Drosophila melanogaster: one gene and its partners. The protein of the gene in region 2 interacts with the protein of the main gene of each other region in a pairwise test. Each region holds a gene or a part of one and is shown on either strand. Other genes may lie near its edges. The genes, in order: X11L, fd3F, B-H2 and Eip93F.

Region 1 (7,865 bases), about 14 Mb from region 2:
ATCAACTTCTCCGGCGACACCAAGAGTCTTCTGACCAGATCCGCCTCCGCGGCGCCCAGCGTGGCGGGGGGCGTGGCCGGATCCGGGTTCTACGACGGAGGCGTCGGCGACGAGGGCAATATCTCATCCGAGGCACTGGCCATTCAGGTAGGTGAAAACTAATCATTGCTAAATTCGATATCATTTGAAAAATTGGTTTCAAAAGTAACATGCTTTTTTTTCCATTTCCAGCGAACGTACTTCCTGGATGCGGGTGCCATTTCGGCGATTTGCTTCACTGTCTTCGGCGTCTGCTGCACAGTGGGCACCATTGGGATCGTACTGTACCGTCGTCGGTATCTGAACAAACCGCAGGCGCTCAGCGAACCAGACTCGAGTGTCTATATCGATGATAGCACGATGCGGGTGAGTGTAAGGATTCGTTGACCAATTGCCAGTGGCGCTTGAATGTCCTATGCACTAAATAGTTCTCTCTCTTGATTTTGCAGGACAATTCGGATGAGATGTACAGCCTGGACAACGACTCGTTTCTCAATTCGCTGGAGGCGATGACAATACAGAACTACTGGACGGATACGGTCAAACATACAAAGCTTTAATCTCCGGCCTTCCCCGTTGGAAGTCCAATCCCCTCTATCATTTATTGTACGTCTTTGGTTCGATTTCGATTACGATTCTGTTTCGTTTCGCTGTTAAAATTCCATTCCTGATTTGACAACCAGACATCATAATCATTAAGTAGCGTAGTTTTTAAGCGCGTGTATGTATTTACTAATGTTAGGCAACCAAACGAGCAACTAGTTTAAGCCCAAAACTACCAAAATTATGTTTAGTGTACGTGTAGATCCTAAGTGCGCAATGTTTTTGTTGGCCTTGACTGTTAGTTAAAGCCTTTCCCTAACAACTTCCCCACTAACCCGATTTTTGTAAACCAACCCATTGTACTCGTATCTGTTAGTTAATTATTAAACCTTATTTATATTGTTGACTATTTTATCGCCCTTCCCAACCCAAGTCTAATTTTAGAAAACACTATTTATTAAGTTTCCAACTTTGTGTCCAACAATTAAATGCAATCATTCCTTCCAGTTTAGCCTATAGAGCAACTTTACACTGTAATTAATGTATTAAAAGCGAAGCAAGCAAACAACAATTAAAAGAAAACATCACACAACCACACACCGGTGTTGCTAGAATTTTTGGGAAAATAATCCGTGTCTAATTCCTAACTTAATTCATTAAGTTTTCGATGGAAAAACAAAACTTGCTGTTAAAATTTTAATTGCTTGATAAATCTTGAACGAACGAATTATTATCACTGAAATTCTGGCAAGACTGCAAGAAATTGTTTCAATATACACAAATATATAAAACGAATTATAAGCTAACGAAGAACAAGAAAAACTGTTTACTGCCACACAATCCTTGTCAATTTTGCTCATCGAACTTTTATACACCACTTGTACTTGTACTATCCGTTCGAATGTTGCAAATATTAAACGAAAAACAAAACCCAGATGGAGTACATTAATCATTAAATGCTAAACTGATATTATTCGAAAAAGTGTTATCAATTGGCGCGGGAAATTCATCGTACAAGGAGTGTTGGAAAAGTAGACGGTACCGCGTAATTAGGGCAAGGTACAGGAGAAAGGGTAAAGTCAAGTAAAGCTGGGGTGGAGAAGGAAACATATTTAAATATGTTTAAAATGGCTTTTAGCACCTACTTAGGTACGAATTGAATAGTACCCTCTAACGCTGCTCAACACTGTCCGGCTGTTCGCTGTCGATAGCAATCGATAGGCCATCGATGTTCTAGCAGAGACTATCTATATTGCTGCCAATCGCTCTGCGCCAATCGAGTTGCTGAAGGAGTAGTGCAATAAATATGAATTAAATGGTAAATATAAAACCGCGACAGGTGTTGTTTTCGTGCCTATTTGCTGGCCGTGTTGTTGTTGCCGCCGTTTCAGTTGTTGTTGCTCGAGTGCGCTGCGTGTGTGCGTCGTTATGCGACGAGTGTGTGCATGAGTGTGTTGTGTTGTGCGGTGCCCCCACCAAAAAATAACGAAACGAAAAGCAAAGGAGCTGCAAAAAAAATACGACAAATCTATTGATTTTTAACAATACGCACATGGATAGATACACATAACGGTAACGGGGAGTTTGTTTTTTTCCCACGCCTCCAAAGTGCTGAGTGATTGCAACAATCGGCGACAACAAAGGGCTAGCACCAGCACCACCATCGCCCCCTGGCACCACCCACTTGCACCACCCACCACACATCCTTCAACCTTCGCGTGGGTGGTTGTTGTGTCTGGCTGCAGCTTCCTGCGTTTGTTTTGCCTGCGCGAGGACTTTTGGAGGCCAAGTTTACGTGTGCGCAATCAACCACGGACACGGTAGCTCCGGAACTCGGAAACTCGCAAGCTCGGTCAGTGGCAACCGCGGCGGGGGGCCCTAAAAAAGGTGTCCACATATAGACACATGGACAGGCAATAGTGGGTTAATTGCCCGCATTGATTGCGCTGGCCAGCCAGGGGGTCACCACAACCAGAGGTTACCAAACCAGTGCAGCAACAAACCGAAGCTCGAAACAATGGAATACTTATTATTAGCTAAACTCAATTACATTTAACGAGGTGAGCTAGGACCTGTAATAAGATACAAATACACATGAGAATGATTAGGGAATGATTGGGGCAAACCCAATTTAAAGCAATAGGCTTAGGTCCAAAAATAACAAATCAGCAATTTTATAGATTGGCATTTTACTGTGCTGGTTCCTGTTGTCCGTATCGCGTATGTCTAAACACACCCGGTAATCCAGGTATTTCTATGTCGATTTAAATATATAGTACGCAGCGGCAAGGTATCCAGCAAAAGTACGTCATCGACACGACCACCTGTCCCTGATTTTTTTCTGGGCTGAGCTGCAGCGCAGTGAATCATTGCCGCCTTAGATCATCGACTAATCATCCATTCTCCCCCAGGCAGTGGCCCACAGTGAGGCAGCAATCGCAGCAGCAGCAGCGGATGCAGCAGCAGCAGCACTAGAGCAGTAGTTGTAGTAGTATCGAAGCCGCAGTCCCTCATACCTGGAGAATCAAAGTTGTTGGTGCAGCCATGAACTCAAACTCCTGCAGTGACAGCAGTAACGAGTCCATGGTCAATCCACCGCACATACAGATGAACTTTGGCCAGCAGGCGCAGCAGCAGCAATCGCATCAGCACCAGCAGCAGCAGCAGCAGCAGGAACGTTATGTGTGGGAGATGCGAACCCGTAGCCCAAATGTGACGCCAGCCAGCACGGTGCTCAATTCGCCGGATCTCAATGGCGAGCTGTCCTACGTTCCGCTGCAGGGTCTTTCGCCATCGGGCGGAGGTGTTCAGGGATCCGGCAGCTATGGTTCGAATGCGGGACGCGATTCTGGCAGCTATTACTACCAGCGACCGCAGTTGCATCAAATCCGACTGGGTAGGAGTCCGGGCAGCCAGTTTGAGACACGGGATGTCCTGCCACAGGTAATTTAACTTGGAGAATTACTTAGAGGCGTAGTTTCAGTCACTACAATGAGATTTTTCTGCTTTTTCTTTAAGGGATTGGCCAGCCCCGGCTCACCAACGGATGTGGGCAAGGCGGACGGTCAGTGCCTGCGTGATGGTGAGATCGTGGTGTTCGACGACATTGACACAAACTGGATGAACAAGGCATCGAGTGGCCAGCGTCCAGGCAGCAATGAGGATGTCCTCAAGGTGACCAAAATGATTGGACAGCTGCCAATAGCCGAGTACGAGGGTTCACCGCGACGATTTGGAAGTCAACCGAATACAAATACCATTACCATGGGTGGTCCTAGAAAACGTCCGCCGGGTTTCCCGCAAAGAGTTTCGCCCACCACCAGTGTCGCTAATAATGCAACTGCTGCAGCTAAAGCATCCGTGGGCAACCTTATCGATTTGGTCGACCACGAGGAAGAGCGTTCCGGGACGCTTCGCGAGAAAACACCTACTTTCGACTACCTGTACGAATTCTCAGAGACCAGAAAGGTGCTGGAGGAGTTCTTCAAGGCGAATCCGGAGGACGAAAAGCGGTACACGGATTACACCACGGAAAGTGGAGACGATGTCGCTAGCTCGGTGAGTACTACTACTTCCAAGAAGCCTAGAAACCCATTTAATATTGCATTTTGATTGACTAGCAGCCACAAGAGTACCCAGCCACGCCCATGGAGCAGGCATATATAGGACAGCGGTTGGCGAGAATACCTAAAGATGAGCTCTACATGGTTCACCGGTCGCCTACTAAAAAGCCAGTGAGTCATAACGAAATGAAATTCATTAAAATAGCTAACGATTGTTCGATTTCTAGCCCAGTGACCAGAATCCATCGACGGCCTACCAGGAGCATAATGATATTGAGCTGTACATTGATTCGAATAGCCGAAGCAGCGGCGATTTGGCGGACACCGAACTGGAGGCAAATCTGCGCCGACACTCCCGAAACTTTACCCTGTCTCCCGAGACGACGGATTACGATTCGAATTGCGGTGATTTGGACAGTCTGTCTAACGACATTAACTGCCCCACGGATTTTGGTAAACTGTATACGAGCATGCCTGTCCTAGAAGATGGCCTGAGCAGTGGCCACGCCTCCGACACGGAGAACAACGTATCCGTGGTGTGTGACAAGCAGCAATCGTCCCAATCTCAGCCCGTCCACGAGCACAACGGTAATGGCGAGCGGCTGGAGAACGACTACAATGTGATGAGCGCCAGCTTGGCCACATTGACCACAGATGCCTCGCAATCGGCGCTGATAAGCGACTTCGCCTCACTGCCCATGCCCCCGGCTCCGCCTCCATCATCGCCGCCCCAAATCGAGATCGCCGATGCAAGTGAATCCATGACCATGGTCCCAGATGCTGATAATCCACTGGACAGTCACTACGGTGCGGTTTATGCAGCAGCTTTGGGAGGTACTCACACAGAGAAGTCAGCGGGATCAGGACTGGGGGTGACACCAGTAACTGCGGGAGGATCTTTGCCATCGCAGGCTGCTTCGGAAATCCAGGAGGCCATGAAGGAGATACGTTCCGCCTTGCAGCGTGCTAAAACGCAGCCTGAAAAACTAAAATTCTGTGACGAAGTGCTGCCCACGGATCCAGATTCACCGGTTTGGGTTCCACGCAAAGGGACGACGATCTCGACGGCCCAAGGTGCGGCGGCGGATGAGGAACCAGACACCGACCTTGAAACAGATCGTCTATTGGGTCAGCAGAGGCACGATGAGCAGGATTTCTTCGCCGATCAGGTGAGGAATGCAAACTTACAGAGATATCAGCTCAAAATAATTACGAAATAATAATTTTACAGAGCCTGGCTGATAACAATGCCAATGAGGGCACGGATATTGCCAGCAATGGGCATCTAAATGGCACGTCGGACAACAACAATCCGAATCCTATGAATAATAGCAAGCCGCAAACCTACTCGACGGCCACCATTCGACAAGGCATCGGCACCTCGTTGACACCCAATTCGCCGGACATCTGTCAGATTGTGGGCACGACCGACATCTCCATAAGCTCGCCGGAAAAACTGCAGTTCACCAAAAGTCCCACGGGCTCTATTAAATCCCTGAAGGACTCTGCCAACTCGGACAAGAAGGCCAAATCGCGGAACAAAGAGGGTAAGTTAGCACAGTTGTCAACGCCCCTTGTTGTTCGTTTACTGATATGGAAACCGATTCAACATTTCACGCTGCAATTCAAATCTATTTAATGCTGACATCACGTAAGTCTCTGTTACCCAGCAGATGTTTAGGTTTATTAAACTACCCTTATGTGTATTAACAATCAGAAATGAAGACCATTAACGCACTTCGTAACTAATTTAAATAATGTTCGTTCTTAGGTCTCTTGGAACCCAAAGTTCTCATTGAGGGCGTGTTGTTTCGGGCCAGATACCTTGGATCCACTCAACTTGTCTGCGAGGGTCAGCCGACCAAGTCGACCAGAATGATGCAGGCCGAGGAGGCCGTTTCCAGGATCAAGGTAAGTGAAGTGAAAACCTGGTGATGCACACGAAAGCACATCCATTCAAGGAAACCCCGCTAGGTTATGCTCTATGTGTGTGTCTAAAAACTTTCTCGTTCGCTTTTCTCGTTCCCTGCTGCGCATTCCTCTCGATAGGCTTTGGTAAGCGTTCGTTAGCCCCTTTCAGTCGTCAAATGATAGCATTAAGAATTAAATGCATTATATAATATATGATTTGCTATTTTTTTACCAGGCTCCCGAGGGCGAAAGTCAGCCGAGCACTGAAGTGGACCTGTTCATATCAACCGAAAAGATAATGGTGCTTAACACGGATCTCAAGGAGATCATGATGGACCATGCGCTGCGTACTATATCCTATATAGCTGACATTGGCGATCTGGTTGTGCTGATGGCTCGTCGTCGATTCGTACCGAATAGTGTTGTGGATCCATCGATCACCAGTCCATTAGGTGATGTTCCCACTCCGGGCATAGGCGAGGAGGAGTCGCCCCCCAAAGAGCCACTCAGCAAGCACAATCGCACGCCCAAAATGATCTGCCACGTGTTCGAAAGCGATGAGGCGCAGTTCATAGCTCAGTCCATTGGACAGGCCTTCCAGGTACGCGAATATTAATAATATTATTGGCACGTATAATTAACAATCAAAACCTAACCAGGTGGCCTACATGGAGTTCCTGAAGGCGAACGGCATCGAAAACGAGAGTCTGGCCAAAGAGATGGACTACCAGGAGGTGCTCAACAGTCAGGAGATTTTCGGTGATGAGCTGGAGATCTTTGCCAAAAAGGAGCTGCAAAAGGAGGTAGTTGTGCCGAAGGCGAAAGGCGAGATCCTAGGCGTGGTGATCGTAGAGAGTGGCTGGGGATCCATGCTGCCCACCGTGGTGATTGCCAACCTGATGAGTTCAGGAGCAGCTGCCCGCTGCGGCCAGCTGAACATCGGTGACCAGCTGATCGCCATTAACGGCATGAGCCTGGTGGGACTGCCGCTGTCCACCTGCCAGAGCTACATACGCAATGCCAAGAACCAAACTGCCGTCAAGTTCACCGTTGTGCCCTGTCCGCCTGTCGTCGAGGTTAAGATCCTGCGTCCCAAGGCGCTGTTCCAGTTGGGTTTTAGTGTTCAAAATGGCGTGGTAATTATAAAATGCTGAATTTATTCTTCTTATTCTAATCCTTCTAATCATATGTATTTATTTAATGCAGATCTGCAGTCTTTTGCGTGGAGGAATCGCTGAGCGGGGTGGAGTACGCGTAGGCCACCGCATCATTGAGATTAACAACCAGAGCGTTGTGGCCGTGCCACACGATACCATTGTCAAGCTGTTGTCATCCTCAGTGGGCGAGGTATGACGCGTTTTTAAATTCGTTATTCTTATATTAACAATACCTTTCCAATCAGATCCTGATGAAGACAATGCCCACGTCCATGTTTCGTTTGCTCACCGGTCAAGAGACGCCAATCTATATATAAATATATATGCAACTGTTCACACGCCTACGCTGGAATCGAAAAACTATAAATTCGTCAACTGCAACTTGACCAGCTTAAAGTTACATCGATTCGCAAAGAGACCTTAAATTGGAATTTGTTTAGTCTTAAATTGTTCATTGATTATTTGTCTTTATGTATTCACATTGCAAGCATAATTGTAGTTAATTTAAATGAATTGCAAATGTATTAAGTCTACAATGAGATTAATTGTTCGTCGTCAAATCGTTCAGGTGTCCACAGCGACCACAACTGCAATAGAGAGATTACTATTACTGGAGTTACAGAAAATGCTACTTTTTGGTTCATTTTGTCCA
Region 2 (4,923 bases):
CCATTCGAACTGAGCCGAAACTTCTTGGACTGTCGATTCATTACATTAAATGCGGGGGGGTGGTGAGGAGTGCAGGTGCGCAGGTGATGGGCAAATGTCATAAATTATTTGCCTCCCCCTCCCGAGCGGGGTGGTTTTATATGTAAATTTATATAGGATATTTACACGCAACATTCGCGGCTGCGGCATCAAATATTTACACTGATTCCGGGTATTCGAAGACAACAAAAGAAATGAATAACAAAAAACAGGTGGGGAGCAGTGGGGGCGAAAGGCCAAATTGATGAACCTTGAAAAATGTGTTAAAACTTATTGTTTTCTTCGTCAGCGATTCTTGACGAATTGATATTTTCGAACTCAGCGTGGTAAAAATGGAATTTTGAAAATTTTAACGTTTTGCGAAAAGTAGGTAATGATTAACTAGTTTTGAATACTATTGAATGATTAACTAATACGGAATGAGCCGTATTAAGCACTTATCACCATAAAACTAAGAATTTGGTATACTCAACAATTGCCACTAAACAATCCAAAAGCCAAAATTAATGGGTCGCTATCCGTATAAGCTGATAATACCAGGGAATACCAGTTTGGCATAAACAACTTGTTGAACAACCCGCAAATAGTTTGGTTAACAACATTTTTGTTTTTCACCTTATGCGAGCGAAGGCAAGGTAAATGCAATTTTCTAGCCCATAAATCTGTTTGAGCTGCTAACTTTTGGCACTTTCATTGTGGCCGCTATCGTTTGTTTGCCGGTGTGTGGCACTTTGTTTAAGTTTGGTTACCAACCAAGGAACGAAAACATGGTAAGAAGAAATACCCAGCGAACGAGGAAATCAAATGGCCAACGGGAATGGCCAAAACGAAATGCTTGAGATTTGTTTAATTGCATCCTGGCTGGCGTTTTTTGCCATCAAAAAAAATAACAGGATGGCTAGCACTCCACAAAATGGCGTCCATCCGAATGGGCGGTGGGCGGTGGGCGGTGGTGGTTGATTCAGTGGGTGGTTCGATGGGGGACAGTACTTACGATATCCATTGGTATATGCCCGACACAGTCAGCTCACCCTTATCCTCGAGGGCGTATTCGATGAGCTCCGTGTAGGTGAACGGTGGTTTCTTTGGCCTGCTTGTTTTGCGGTGGTTGGTTTTGGATTTCAGCCACATTGGTGGGTGGTTCGGTGGTTTAGTGGATCGGCGATTGCGTGGTTGGGGAAATTCGTTGGCGGCATCGATTGGAGGACGGCATTGAAAGCAAATGGAGAACGCACAAATCAGAGAAAAAGATTGTTAAATATATTAAAACAAAAGAGAGAATGCTATAGTCGAGTTACCCGACTATCAGATACCCGTTACTCAGCTAGTGTGAATGCGAACGCGAAATTTAATCATCTTTCTGGGATGTCGATAGATATTGGGGAATAAAATGAGAAAAAAATTTAAAAATTGATCCTGATCAACAAATTTTATATATACTTCAACGAATCTAGTATACCCTTTTCCTCTATGAGTAACGGGAATAAATAGATGTTTCAAATAAATTAGGAAATATAGAATTTAACCGTTGACACTGTCATATTGTTTTATTTCTGCAACACTTACGCCTTGGACGAAGTATCCTCGACGACAACGTGCTCGGCAACTATCATGTCGTTACCGTCCAACTCCGAGGTGACCTCCATCACCAGCTCCTCGAACTTGCGCCCAGTCTTGGTGGAGCCCACGCCGGCCACGCCCCCCGCTGCTGAAGCGCCAGCGGAGCCGTTGCCTCCTCCTCCTAATGCCGCTGGCATCGCTGCACTGGAGCAACTCTTGGGCGATCTGGCCCGTTGATCCACCAAACCCGATCCGAGAGATTGATTTGTGCTTATGGCGGATGCGGATGCCGATGCGGCGGAGGCGGATGATGGCGAGGAGGAACTGCAGGGCGACGTGGCGATCGGCACTGCCGTCGATGGTGGATGAGGTGGAGCACTGCCCTCCGGCAGATTGACCGCCTGTCCGTGAATCTGATTGTGCGGCGATAGGTGCGGGAACTCGTCGAACTTAAAGTTGAGCAGCCACGAGAGGTTCTTATCCTCGAAGTCCGCCTCGGTGGCTTCATTGGCCCCACTAACCGAACCGGATGAGGTGCGTCGGCCCGCCGACTGTATCCGCTGCTTCTGCGGCACCAGAAAATGTTGATTCTGATGTGGGTTCTGACCAGGACTGACATTCTGTTGTGTTGACTGCTGCGTATGATTGGATGCATTTTGAGCTGATGATGATGTTGGTGGTGGCGGCGGCAAAGTGGCATTCAATTGCCCCAGTTCCGCCTGCAGGCCGGAGTTATAACGATGATCCAGCTCCAGCAGCTCGCCACCGGTCCAACCACCATTGTCATCCAATGGAGCACTCGATGGTGGACAGTGCGAATAGGCGACGGCGGGCACCAGAAGACTGCTCTCATAGGAAAAGAGATCGTTGATGAAGGACGTCGAGGATTGGGCGGGTGCAGCGTTGGTTGGCGGATTACTAGGTGGCTGTTCCAGCTGCAGGTGGAAGTGCAGGTCCCCGGCATCGTAGTCCAAGTGTCGCTTCTTCCAGGGATTTGCCCCGATGGGCTCGTAGTCGTGGCCCAAAGCCAAATCCTCCTGATCGTCGAACTTGCGCTTAAGAAAGTTGTAATCACCGGGAAGATTAGTGTTCGTATCATTTTGATTGGTGGTACTGCTATTGTTGTTGTTGTTGCTGCTGGGATTCGATGTTGGGCTGGATGCACTGCCCGTTCCATTGACGGGCATGTTGACAATCATGATGTCCCGGCTGTCTCGATTTCAATCACGTTAGCCAAGCCAAAACACACAACTCACACTTGGCGAAAAAGAGCAAGTAACACGAAAAAAAAATTGACCTGCTTCGTCTGGGGGACGGACGAAGGATATTTCTTTCTTTATTTCTCAATCTTTAGTTTAGTCAAGAGCGGAAATTGGGAATTAGTCGGTCCGCACTGGCTAACTGGCTAACCGTCTCGCGCTGCGACTGGCCACGGAATGCGATGGGCCGCCAGGAGTCCAGACCAACTTGGCTGTTGGGCTGAGCTGCGCCTGCGCCCTCCTGCCACTCATCCACATTCACATCCACCACCCCGGACACCCAGTCATGCACATAAGCGGTACGTCTGCAGTCGATGGAAAGAGGAGCCGTACCTGTGATGGCGCAGGTACAATAAAATAATGCAGACACTTCACTGTATTATATTTGACATATTCGTTGATATATGTTTCAACCATATCACCTGCTTATAAATATATATTTATAATTTATATATAAATATGAAAAATATCAAAGCAAAGAAAGCTGTCATAGCTTCTAAATAATCAGTCGTGTACGCTGTACCAAGCTGAGTTTAAAAAGCAATCAAGTACCTCTAGGTACAACCACCCAGGTCTTGGCATCGCTGAGCCCAGGTCATGTGCCGCTGGTTCTGCTTGGTCGCTCGATTTGGCCATAATCGAACATGTGCGCCAAGCTGTCCGTTAGCCAATTTCGCGCTGACATGGGGCGGGGTGCGGTAGATAGGTTCTGGATCCAGGGTGCAGGGTGCAGCCATTGAAGCGTCTAATCGACGCTTTCATACACCATGCGTACCCAATGTACTTCATACAAAGTGAGCAACCCACACAGGTGATGCGCCGGATAGTTTAAGGGACTACGGCTCCATCTGTTCAACCCGCTCGAAAAAAAAGCAAAAGTATCTCCCCTTTTACCCGTTTACCAAAAAATATGGACATTAGCAATTCGGGTTCTTGTTGATTCGTTTATTTATTTCCATTGATCACTGGTTGAATGAGTGTGTGAATGAGTGTGTGAATGAGTGTGTGAATGAATGGGCGATTGCTTTCATGTTGGGGGGCTAAATGCATTTGCATACAATATGATTTAAATCCTACTCAGTACAATTTTGTTTGACCAAATGATGCGATTAGTTTTATCCGTTTCTTCGTTCTCGGTAATTTAGGCTAATATTATTGAACATATATATATTTTTTATTTTCTTTTGGTTGTTTCTCGAGCTTTAGTTCAACTAGATCGATCGGCACCCTTGAATCTGACTTGACGTCTAAACATTCATGTTTTGTTCGTTACAGGACAATCTTTTGATTTACCTGTGAACTGCAAATGTGAAGTTTTTAAGCATATTCTAGCTCCTTTGTATAGTTTCATTTGCCACTTTAATGGCCGCAAGTATGCTTTTCAATAATATGTGAAGAAGCGTCTCCAGCATCTCCAACATCTCTTTCTTCTCGATTTAAATAAATGTTGCTTATTCTTCTGACTGCTTGTAGTATTTTGAATATTTGAATTTTCTCCATTGTCGCCCGTTCTTTTACGTGTTGGTTAAGTTAAAGCTTAGGAAATGTTTGTTTTTTCCCAGCTGCAAAAATGTGTAAGGCAGTTGCTTTCCCTTTTGTTTTTCGTGTAGTCCATCTTCTTCCCCGCACTCTGTTGCTTTCTCTTTCTTTGTTGTTTTGTAATCTCGCTCGATTTCGTGTAATTGTTTGTTAACTTCTTTTTATCGACGCATGTTTCAGTCTTACTACTGCCCCATTTCTAAACCTTAGTCCAAACCGTCATCGACGAAGTCGGCGGAATCCTTTTTAGGCTTAGGCTCGCTCGGCTTTCCAGCCTTTTCACCCGCTTGGCCAAAGGCAGCACCCACATCTCCACCGGGCACAATCTTCTTGATAAGGTTGTATATCTTCGGGTTCGACGCGTACTTTGTGATGTTACCCGGATTTGACAAAATGTCCTACGAAAGTTAATAAATAACAACGATATGATTACTGCATTTGTATTAGAAATAGAAAAGTAGTATTCACGAACCTGAATGGCGGCTGACACCTCGGGATCTGACATGGCGCCCAGTATATCAGACAT
Region 3 (4,828 bases), about 14 Mb from region 2:
TTTATTGATAATTAAGAAAACAATTATCAATAAGTAAATTACATAAAAAAAATGATAAGTTTATGTTCATATCTATTAATGCTATAATTTATATTACAGGAAAATCAATCTCATGGTTTATTCAGAGGCAATACAAACTGTACCCAATGATCCCGGTCACGTCTTCGTTTTCCTGCTCCAGCCCGATCGTTTGTCAGGTCGTAAATGCTTGGGATATATCTATGATTACGATACTCTATTCCTGGAAACGTTTGGCGACAGGAACTCGGATACATACCAATGGCCAGTAATACCCGACAATTGCTGCCGTGAGGCCATTTTGAAAAGCTAACTATACAATAAACATGTGGCAGCGGGAGCATCCGCCTCCAGGCGCCAAAGACTGCCTCCTCGAGTAGCTCCTGCCCACCGGAGCACGCTTGTTAGTCCACAGGAATGAGGTGGTAGGAACCCCCAGTGGTATACAGCCCCCTCTTGGATAGCCACCCCCCCCCTGAGACCCATTCACTTGCACATTAGGCAGCAAATTGACATCGATACAAGAAGTAAACCAGAAGTGAGTGGAAAGAGAGGGCACTATCGCGTGCGACAGAGAGGAAAGCGTGCAGCATTTAACTGCTGCCAATTTACTGTTTAAATGCCAAACAAAAAGTGTTAACAAGCGCAAAAATAACAAAAGACACCAACAACAAAGTACGCAGAGCGAGAGGGCCCGAGGCGAGCCACAGGCGGCCAGCCCTTGGGCCAAAGCGAGACAGACAGATGTCGTGCCGGCTGCCTCTCGCTCGCACAAACCAGTTTAAGGGGGCGTGGCCTGGCCACAAAACAGGGTTGACAGCATCCCATCCATCCATCTTGCCATCCGGATATCTGTCCATCAGATACAACAGCAAAAGCAACATTAGAAGCAAAAGCAAAGGCGGCAGCTGCCCTGCTGCCATAATCGTGTTGAGTTTCAAGCTGCCATAAAAAGTTTATGGGAAGTCGTATTGAACAGGGAAACCTTCTAAAACAGTATGATTTTGCTACTGCTGGAGGCATATTGCATAAATGTTCTGTCATTCCTGTACAAACTATATTTAGTTGGAAAGTTAGATAACAAGTTATTAGTATATTAAAGATGCATGGCTACATATTTTTTAATAATACTCGCTATTATAATAAAAGTTTACCATTAACACTGTTCAAATTTTGTTTGAAAGCAGCTAAAATAATATGAAATAACCAACTGACCCCTAAGACTATATTTAACCCTCAAAGATAACGAACACGTTTTTGTTCAGATTTATAGAAATCAAATAAGTACAAATAACTTTTTATATAAATTGACAAGACTTAATAAACCCTATTTATTTAAGGATATGAAGTTAATTGCAATACTTTTTGTGCGGTTGTAGTTCGAAACAGCCAACTCCACCACGTGCCATAAAAATAACCGTTAGACGTGCGGCCATTGCCGGCGGAAAGTCACCACACCCGCCAACTTGAGTCCCGCTGATTGAAGCCTAATGAATGTCAATTGCTGCCAATTACGACCAATAAGTGCGGGCAATAAATGTGGGCAGCCGTGGGTGCGAGCGAGAGGCAGTCGCGGGGCGACAGAGAGGGAAACTCACCACACCGCCACTTGGCCAGGTCAATGAGCGAAAAAGAGACGACGACAGGTGGCAGCTGATGGGAAGCGGTGGCTCAACTGGTTTTTGCTGCCTTCTTGTTGTTGCTGCTGTTGCCGCTGCTGCTGTTGTTGCTGCTGCTGCTGCCAGTTGCTGTTGCTGGCAGCAAGTTTCAGTTTCGGTCGAAAGCCAAAGGCGAGCGGTTGTTGCTCCGCTATTGAACATCACAAAGTGTGCGCACCTCAGCGACATTTGCGTTAAAAACCCAGTTGGGCCAAGAAAACATTAACCAACGCAAGAGCAATCGAAAGCGGAGTTCAAGAACTTGTCAAGTTTAAGAAATAAGTGCGAGCAGCTACCAACAATTAACTGAAGAAGTGCTAAAAACTCGCGTCACCCATACATACATACATAGCTGTTTGTTTTTTTTCGGTGCAAAGTGCAGGTGCAGCAGCGGAGTCGTCGGCTAACCACACATGACCACAATGCCACCGGAAATGTCCGCAACAACGGCAGCTCCCGTTGGCAGTGCACCGAGTGCCACCGCTCATCATCCCGCTGCCGTCGGCGGCGGTATGCCGCGTCCAGCTTCCCCGGCCGTCGGCAGCAACACGACGACAGCCACGGCCACAACGGCGACGCGATCCCGCTTTATGATCACCGATATTTTGGCAGGAGCCGCGGCCGCATCGGCGGCGGCAGCAGCAGCGGCGGCCGCCTTGGCAGCCGCCTCTTCCGGCGGTGGGCGTGGCAGTCCGACGGACTCGGAGCGGGAGCAATCGCTGGTCGCCCAGCATCACCACCATCACCAGCAGCAGCAACAACACCATCATCACCAGCAGCAGCAGCAGCAGCAGCAACATCAGCAGGCTGCCCTGCAACAGTACATCGTGCAACAGCAGCAGTTGCTGCGCTTTGAACGGGAAAGGGAGAGGGAGCGGGAGCGGGAACACTATAGGGAGAGACATTCGCCGCCTGGCAACAATCCCTATGCCCACCACCCCATGCCGCCCCATCTGCTCGCCCACTTTCCGCCCGCCCACTACGCCGTGCTGCAGCAGCAGCAACAGCAACAGCAGCAACAGCAACATCCCCACCCGCATCATCTGCAGCTTGAGAGGGAACGATTGGAGGCACTGCATCGGCATGGCCACGGGCTGACCGGTGATCCTGCCCAGCACTTGAGCCACTTAAGCCACCTGAGCCACCAGCAGCACCATCCGCATCTGCATCATCCCATGCACGATGAGCGATCCCGGTCACCGCTGATGCTGCAACAATTGGGCGGTAACGGTGGCAATAACAACAACAATAACAACAACAGCAGCAGTGCCAGTAACAACAACAACAACAACAACAACAGTGCTAGTGCCAACAGCAACATCATCAGCGGCAACAGCAGCAGCAGCAACAACAACAATGGCAGTGGCAACGGCAACATGTTGCTCGGAGGACCCGGCAGCAGCATTAGCGGCGATCAAGCCAGCACAATCGACGACAGCGACAGCGATGATTGCGGTAAGTCGCTGATCATATATCATAAACATACAATGAATCTGTATAGCAATATGGTTTAAGCTGTATTTCAAGGATAAGGCTACATCGGGAATATATAAAGTATATATATATATATATAGCAGAAATAATTAAGTTGCTAACTAAAGGAAGAGACTAGTTCATGAGACAGACATACAGATTCAGATGGATCTTGAAGAATAGCACCAAGTGCGGAATATATGTATATGTATATAGACACTTTATTGCAATATCAAGTAATATGAGAAGAGCAAAGCGGGGATACATATAGAGAATATATATATATATATATATAGCAATATGATATTTGTGATATTTCAGGGACTGGACTGGATGGGAAAGTGAAATCTAATGAACAACTGATATTCAAAATAGCAAGAAAAAAGAAAGACAAGATATAATGCGAGATATAAATGTTTCAAAATACCAATCAAGGCTTTTTTATACGTGTTCCTGACGTACAAATTAAAAGCAATCAAAATCTAGCTAATATATATGTATTTAAGCTCTAGTAAATTTGCATAGAATATTAAAGGAAATAAAGGAAGCTAGTAATTATAGTATACAAATTGCCATTAAAACCAGTTCTATTTATAAACTTTACCAAAGTTCAGCTGTATTAGCTATTTTATTAAACGAAAAGGGCTTTTATGGCTATAGAGAATAGAAATTATTTCATAGTATGCACACCAATAAATGTTAGCTGATAAATTTGATTCGGTTGGTATTAATTTGAAACCCAAACGGTGGACTTTTGTTTATACACTGAAGGGGATCTCGAAACCAATTTACACCTATCCATCTGACCCCTGAGTTCGCACCACTTTAAATTTACGATTTTCCCCGCGACCGGGATATATCATATATTGAGTGCTAAGCGTGGTTGTTTTTCCTGTTGTCTTTGTCGTTTTTGTTGTGGCTGTTGGCTAATAGATAACGGCCAACAACAACCGCACCAACAACCACCGTAAATTGTGCGGCTCGAACGGGGAAAATGCTGGCTTGATAGGCGAAGACTCGAAAAATACAGGTGAGTTCGAGTCTGAGGCAGGTGTCTTAGGTTTTGTCTCTCACTCTCTCTTTCTTCCTCTACCTGTATATGTCTCTCTTTCTGTTTTTTCCTTTTCAATCCCCCCCCCCCCCCCTCAACTTATTGGCCAGATTAGCCAAGTGTTCGCTTATTTTCAACATATTTCCCAGTCAAAACTGTCAACAGAATACCCTTGACTGCCACGCCCCCCGCGTGCCGTCAACCTTGTTTTGCATGCAACAATCTAATTGATTTTGTTGCCTAGCTTTAGTTTTGCTTTTTTCCTCTCGTTAAGTGCTTTTAAACGATATGCAAATTATAACAAATTACTATTAAATAGCCGTAATCGTGCGTTTGCAATTGATTTGCAGTAATATAATTTAGAAAGGCCGAGAACGTGCACAAATATATATGTATGTATTTGAAAGAGCATGGAAATCAGAACAAAAGGTCAGAATGTTGAGTTTGCTACAAAAGATGTGTGTGTGTTTTTATTATAGATTTTTTACGAAATCCCAAAGGATGATAAAAATGAGTTTCCACTATTTTTGGATAACTAAAATGCCGAGTAATTTTAGTTATTTTAATAATTGCCCGGTCTCAATTCAGTTTTTTTTTTGTTAACGAGAAATTATAAGCCCCTAAGCAA
Region 4 (4,617 bases), on a different chromosome or scaffold from region 2:
TATTTCTCTACTAAATGAGGAGATATAATTATGCATATTACATTAGCACCACAACTAAGCTGAATATATAAGTAGTCTTTTTGAATTTATTCCTAATTATTTCAAAGTAAGCGTAGTTGCGGTAAATTCACTCAAAACGCATGCATAATTTCGATAAAAGTTGATATATATATATAATGGCAACTCACAGAAGTGCAGGCTTTTTAGTTTCCATAAAAGTGAATCACGCATTTCCCTGAGCGTAGATGTACATAGACCCACTAGACCCTTTTGGCTTTTGGAGTGTGAGTCACTCACTCAGTGAGCGATAAATGCATGGCGACTACTGCCCGACTTCCCGGAGTGGCAGCAACTTGTTGCTGTTGCTTTTGCTGCTGCTGTTGTTGTTGCAACATCTAATCCAATCCAAGGCGAACAATGGCGAATGCAAATGCAGATGCAACCACTTCCTTTTGTCTGCCGGAGGAGGCGAGATGAGGAGGCCGTGTTGCAATTGCCGTTGTGCCGCTGATGTTGCCCGTGTTGCTCGTGTTGTTGCTGCTGCCTTGTGTTGATGGTCAAGGTCATGAACCTGTTCCAATAACTCGTTTCTTACGTGCAGCACACACACATACACACACACCAAGAAAGGCAGACTGGTAGTCAGATGACTGTGTGTTGCATGTTGCCCGCCTGTTGCACTCCCGTCTAATGCTAATCCTGGCCAGAAGCCAGCGGCTAGAAGCCGGGATGACTAATGGATATCCGCACAAATCAATTTGAGAACATGAAATTAAATTTCAATCCATCTTGGCTTCTGTCGCCTCGGCGGCAATTTAAAGCTAAAAACTTGTCGCCGTCGTGAAATGCGGAAAAGCCTCAAGGACAACGGCGAGTGAAAAGAAAATTGCGACGCGTGGGCGACACATCAGTCTGCCCCCACTTTTATATCCCCCTTATACCATCGACTGATTCATTGTCTTATTTTTTTCCGTCTATGTGGCAGTCAGACTGTGTCATAAATCGCCGCAAATGAATTATTCGAAATCAAATGCAATTGTGCACAAAGCGAATCACTTGGCGAAATATCTACATATATAAAAACAATAATAATAAAAACATCAAGCGCAGTGCTTTCCGTCTGTCAACTTGAAATTAGAAGCGCATTAATTAGAAATTTTTATTATTCGCTCGCACTTAATTCGCATCCACTTCATTTGTCTTTCTCTATTTTATTTTTTAATTGTTATATATACATATTATTTTTCATTCAAATTCAATAAATTTCAAGTTGACATTTATATTTGCGCATTAATTGGTCGTTAAGATTTCCGCGTATTTTTTTTTGTGCCTCATAAAGGAAAACCCATTCAAGTCCATTGTAGGTGACAGATTGTTTGGAAAAGCAAATATAACGATGGTGCTGGAAGGGGGCAGTGGTATCTATACACCCATTAGAGGCACTTGTTGGGCTTCCGAATGCAATTGTGTTGATTTCTTGAGACGATGGAAAGTTTTTCAGCTTTTCATAAACACTCGATTGATTTTCGCGAATTGCTATACATTTGAGTAACAAGACTTTAATTACCTCTTTCAATATTACTTAGCGAAGGCGCATATAAGTTCTTATCAAATTATTCCCTATTCTAGAATGATCTATTATTATTTCTTATGAGCAACGAACATCTTGAAAGTGAGCAAATCAGTGCAATCATTTAAGATGAATCACAGGCATTTAGAGTCATCCGATTTAGTCAACGGAACCGATCCCAAAACAATTGGAAAATGCATGATACGGCATAGGTATAATAATAACTATACAGCTCAAAAACTTGTTGCAGTTGGGGAAAATCCGGAAAGGTTCTTTGTAAACTAATGCAGGGTAATTTAAATTATACACTTAGCACTCAAGTATTTTGTTATTTGATTTTTTGCATAAATCACCCATTAGTTAGTTCTAGTAAACTTAGTTATTTAATTATAATGCAAATGGAGCTACATAATTCAGGGAAATCCCAGAAAATACGCTACCCGAATTGATAAGAAAATATCTACACTGAGGATAATTAGTAAGCCGTTAAGAGAGAGAGAGAGAGAGTGAGGACAAAATGCAATTTTTATAATACAAAAAATACATTTAATTGAAACATACATGATTTAATTAATTTTTGTAATGTTTACAAAGAACCCAAAAGTGCTGGCTCATGAATTTTTTCCCCATTCTGATGTATGTACATAAATGGAATGATTAAAAAAGAATTCTTACTCACTTTTCGTGGCAATGCGTCCCAATATTTACAAGCTCATTAATGTAAATATGTAAAAAATTTGTGGTTTTTTTGCAGTACGATGAAAACGTTGACTTTGTTTGTGGTATTTGTTTTTAATGTATTAAACTTTTTTCCTTCTATCATTTATTTGTGGTTGTCACAGCACTTTTGCATTTTCAGCTCTTTTTACTTTTTTATTTTTTTTTTTCGTTTTTAGTGGCCTGGCATGTCAACTAAAAAATTTTTGTCATAAGAAAAACGCACGTTAAAGGTTTTTCTCTCAGTTGCTGTTGTTGTTGTTTTCGCTCGGGAAGAGGAAGCATGTTAAAGGTAGTGTGCATGTGCGTGTGCGTGTGTGTGTGTGTCTGTCTGTGTATGTGTGTGTGAGTAGAAAATAAATAAAAATTCGCACACCGCGACCAGCGTCAACAACAAACAAGCAACAACAACAACAACTGACACTGACAGACCGACGTTACTAATACGCAAGAGCGCAGGCAGCGACGCCGGCAAACGCTGCAGCAGCGAACGCCGCCTTCGATCCGAACCCAAATCGGTCGGGCACAAGAATCGCCCGTCTGGGCAGTGAGGAGAATGGAGAATCTCGCAGAGAAGCCGAGTCTGGCGAGAATATCCCACTATCGGAGTAGCCAAGTATCCGAGAAACCGAGAATCCGAGGAAGCGTGAAGCCGAGAAACCGAGAAACCGAGAATCCGAATCCAAATCCAAATCAGCGGGGCCGGGACCGAAGCGAACCGCTCGAGCCGACGGACAATAAAGCTAAAGCCAGCCTGCTGCCACAGCTGAGCAGACCGCTGCAGTCGCGTTCGACGAGCGGATGCACTCACGCACACAAGCAAGCCAGCATTTCCACTCGGCCAAAAAGTGCATTCGCAGAACTCACTCAATGAGAGCGAGAGGGAGCGGAAGGGAGAGAGAACGAGAGGTTGGGAGAGCGAGTTAGCCGGCTTGCGTGCAACTGTATGGGTGCCTTCATTCATGGCAGCCGGTAAAAAAAGGCTAAAAGCGAAATTGGTTAACAGAGAGCCACAGCAGCAAGAGGCTAGAAGTAGACGTTGGAAAAAAAGCGAAGAAAAAGAAAATGGTGGCCCAGAGAGCGCTGGATTTTCCGCTCAAGTCGCGGGAAAGGCCAAGAGCAAGTACAGTGCAATTTTTAATTGCACACACACACACACACACACACAGAGACTCGCACTCACACACACACATATGCATAATGCACGCTCTCTGAGAATTTCACACATATTTTTTTATTCAAGCAGCATTTTGTTCTCGAGTTTGTAAAAATTTGCAACGATTCGCTGCCAGTAGTGGTGCTTGCATTTCATTTTTTTTTTCTTTCTGCTCAGCCTCAGTTTTGGTGGGTTTTCGATTTTAGGTCCGCGTCCGAATCGCCAGCGTTCGGCACTGGAGGCGCTCACTCACCGCTCGAAATGCAACTGGCGGCCAGCGACGAAGCAAACCGATCCGAGCCGGCTATACGTCTATATATTCCACATCCACTTCCCACAACGGAGGCTCTTCTCGGCCGGGGGAGCGGCGGGGCACGCGGAAATCGGCGGGAGGAATACGTAGGCTACCGTTGCACATGCACTTTTTTAGTTTTTATTTTGGTTTTGAGCTTTTTTGTTTTCGTATTGTTTTCGTTTTTTCACTTTTTTCGGTGCGAATGTCGAGTGCCAGAGCGTACTGAAAACTAAAATAATTCATTTGGGCTGCCACTTTGAAGAATTGCGATTTTTGTGAGAGAGTCGGGAAAGGATCTATGGATGGTGACCCCCAAGGATTGAGCGATCGATAATTGGGTTGGAGCCCAGATAAGCGTTGCATTTTTCCGGGAATCGTTATAGTGCACTACTCGAGGGTCGTAAAAGTAGACAGCTTATTTTTAGTAAACAATCGTATCAGTTCTATAACCCAAATACCTTTGTTAAGCCTTATAAATTATACCAACCCACAGACTTCTCTTATAGTTATTTTTATTTGAGTTATCAAAAATCGTCAAATTTTTGACATTTTTCATAAGGCCATTTCCAGCTAATTATGTTTGCTAAGAACTTCAAGACTTTATATTAAAGTCATTTTGTCAAGACATAAGATAATCGCCTTTAATATAGCCTGACTAACCCCAAAATTACCCATTGACTGACTGAGAAACTGAGTGAGTACCTATTATTAACCAAAAGCCCCAACGAGGAACTGATTGCGCACCTTAGCGACTGAACAACTGGGAAACTGACGACCGGACTGACTGACCAACTGAGGAAATGACCGACTGAGAACAGACTGCAATTCGAGTCGACTTGCAGCGACTCAATTGCATGTCATTGTAGACGAAAATATTTT

What was found.
Region 1: the proteins of fd3F (region 2) and X11L interact in a two-hybrid assay, tested with the Drosophila melanogaster proteins (one large-scale study listed by BioGRID).
Region 3: the proteins of fd3F (region 2) and B-H2 interact in a two-hybrid assay, tested with the Drosophila melanogaster proteins (one large-scale study listed by BioGRID).
Region 4: the proteins of fd3F (region 2) and Eip93F interact in a two-hybrid assay, tested with the Drosophila melanogaster proteins (one large-scale study listed by BioGRID).

The regions. Positions count from the first base shown.
Region 1 is NC_004354.4:17,597,780-17,605,644, forward strand, and holds the start of X11L (X11L), read left to right. Parts: upstream 1-1,828; 5' UTR 1,829-1,900; intron 1,901-2,211; exon of another isoform or gene 2,212-2,642; intron 2,643-2,993; 5' UTR 2,994-3,126; coding exon 3,127-3,525; intron 3,526-3,600; coding exon 3,601-4,140; intron 4,141-4,202; coding exon 4,203-4,316; intron 4,317-4,372; coding exon 4,373-5,314; intron 5,315-5,376; coding exon 5,377-5,692; intron 5,693-5,916; coding exon 5,917-6,056; intron 6,057-6,194; coding exon 6,195-6,200; intron 6,201-6,291; coding exon 6,292-6,657; intron 6,658-6,715; coding exon 6,716-7,192; intron 7,193-7,262; coding exon 7,263-7,403; intron 7,404-7,458; coding exon 7,459-7,530; 3' UTR 7,531-7,865. Other genes in the region: CG12991 (uncharacterized protein), read left to right, coding at 1-147, 232-405, 468-599.
Region 2 is NC_004354.4:3,800,432-3,805,354, reverse strand, and holds the start of fd3F (forkhead domain 3F), read right to left. Parts: upstream 3,040-4,923; 5' UTR 2,799-3,039; coding exon 1,606-2,798; intron 1,130-1,605; coding exon 1,034-1,129; intron 1-1,033. Other genes in the region: HIP (Hsc/Hsp70-interacting protein), read right to left, coding at 4,604-4,795, 4,870-4,923.
Region 3 is NC_004354.4:17,312,781-17,317,608, forward strand, and holds the start of B-H2 (BarH2), read left to right. Parts: upstream 1-1,800; 5' UTR 1,801-2,089; coding exon 2,090-3,131; intron 3,132-4,828. UniProt on the Drosophila melanogaster protein: B-H1 and B-H2 are regulated by members of the wg signaling pathway; wg and dpp. B-H1 and B-H2 are coexpressed and functionally required in R1 and R6 receptor cells and primary pigment cells for normal eye development.
Region 4 is NT_033777.3:21,947,505-21,952,121, reverse strand, and holds the start of Eip93F (Ecdysone-induced protein 93F), read right to left. Parts: upstream 3,009-4,617; 5' UTR 2,720-3,008; intron 2,483-2,719; 5' UTR 2,250-2,482; intron 1-2,249.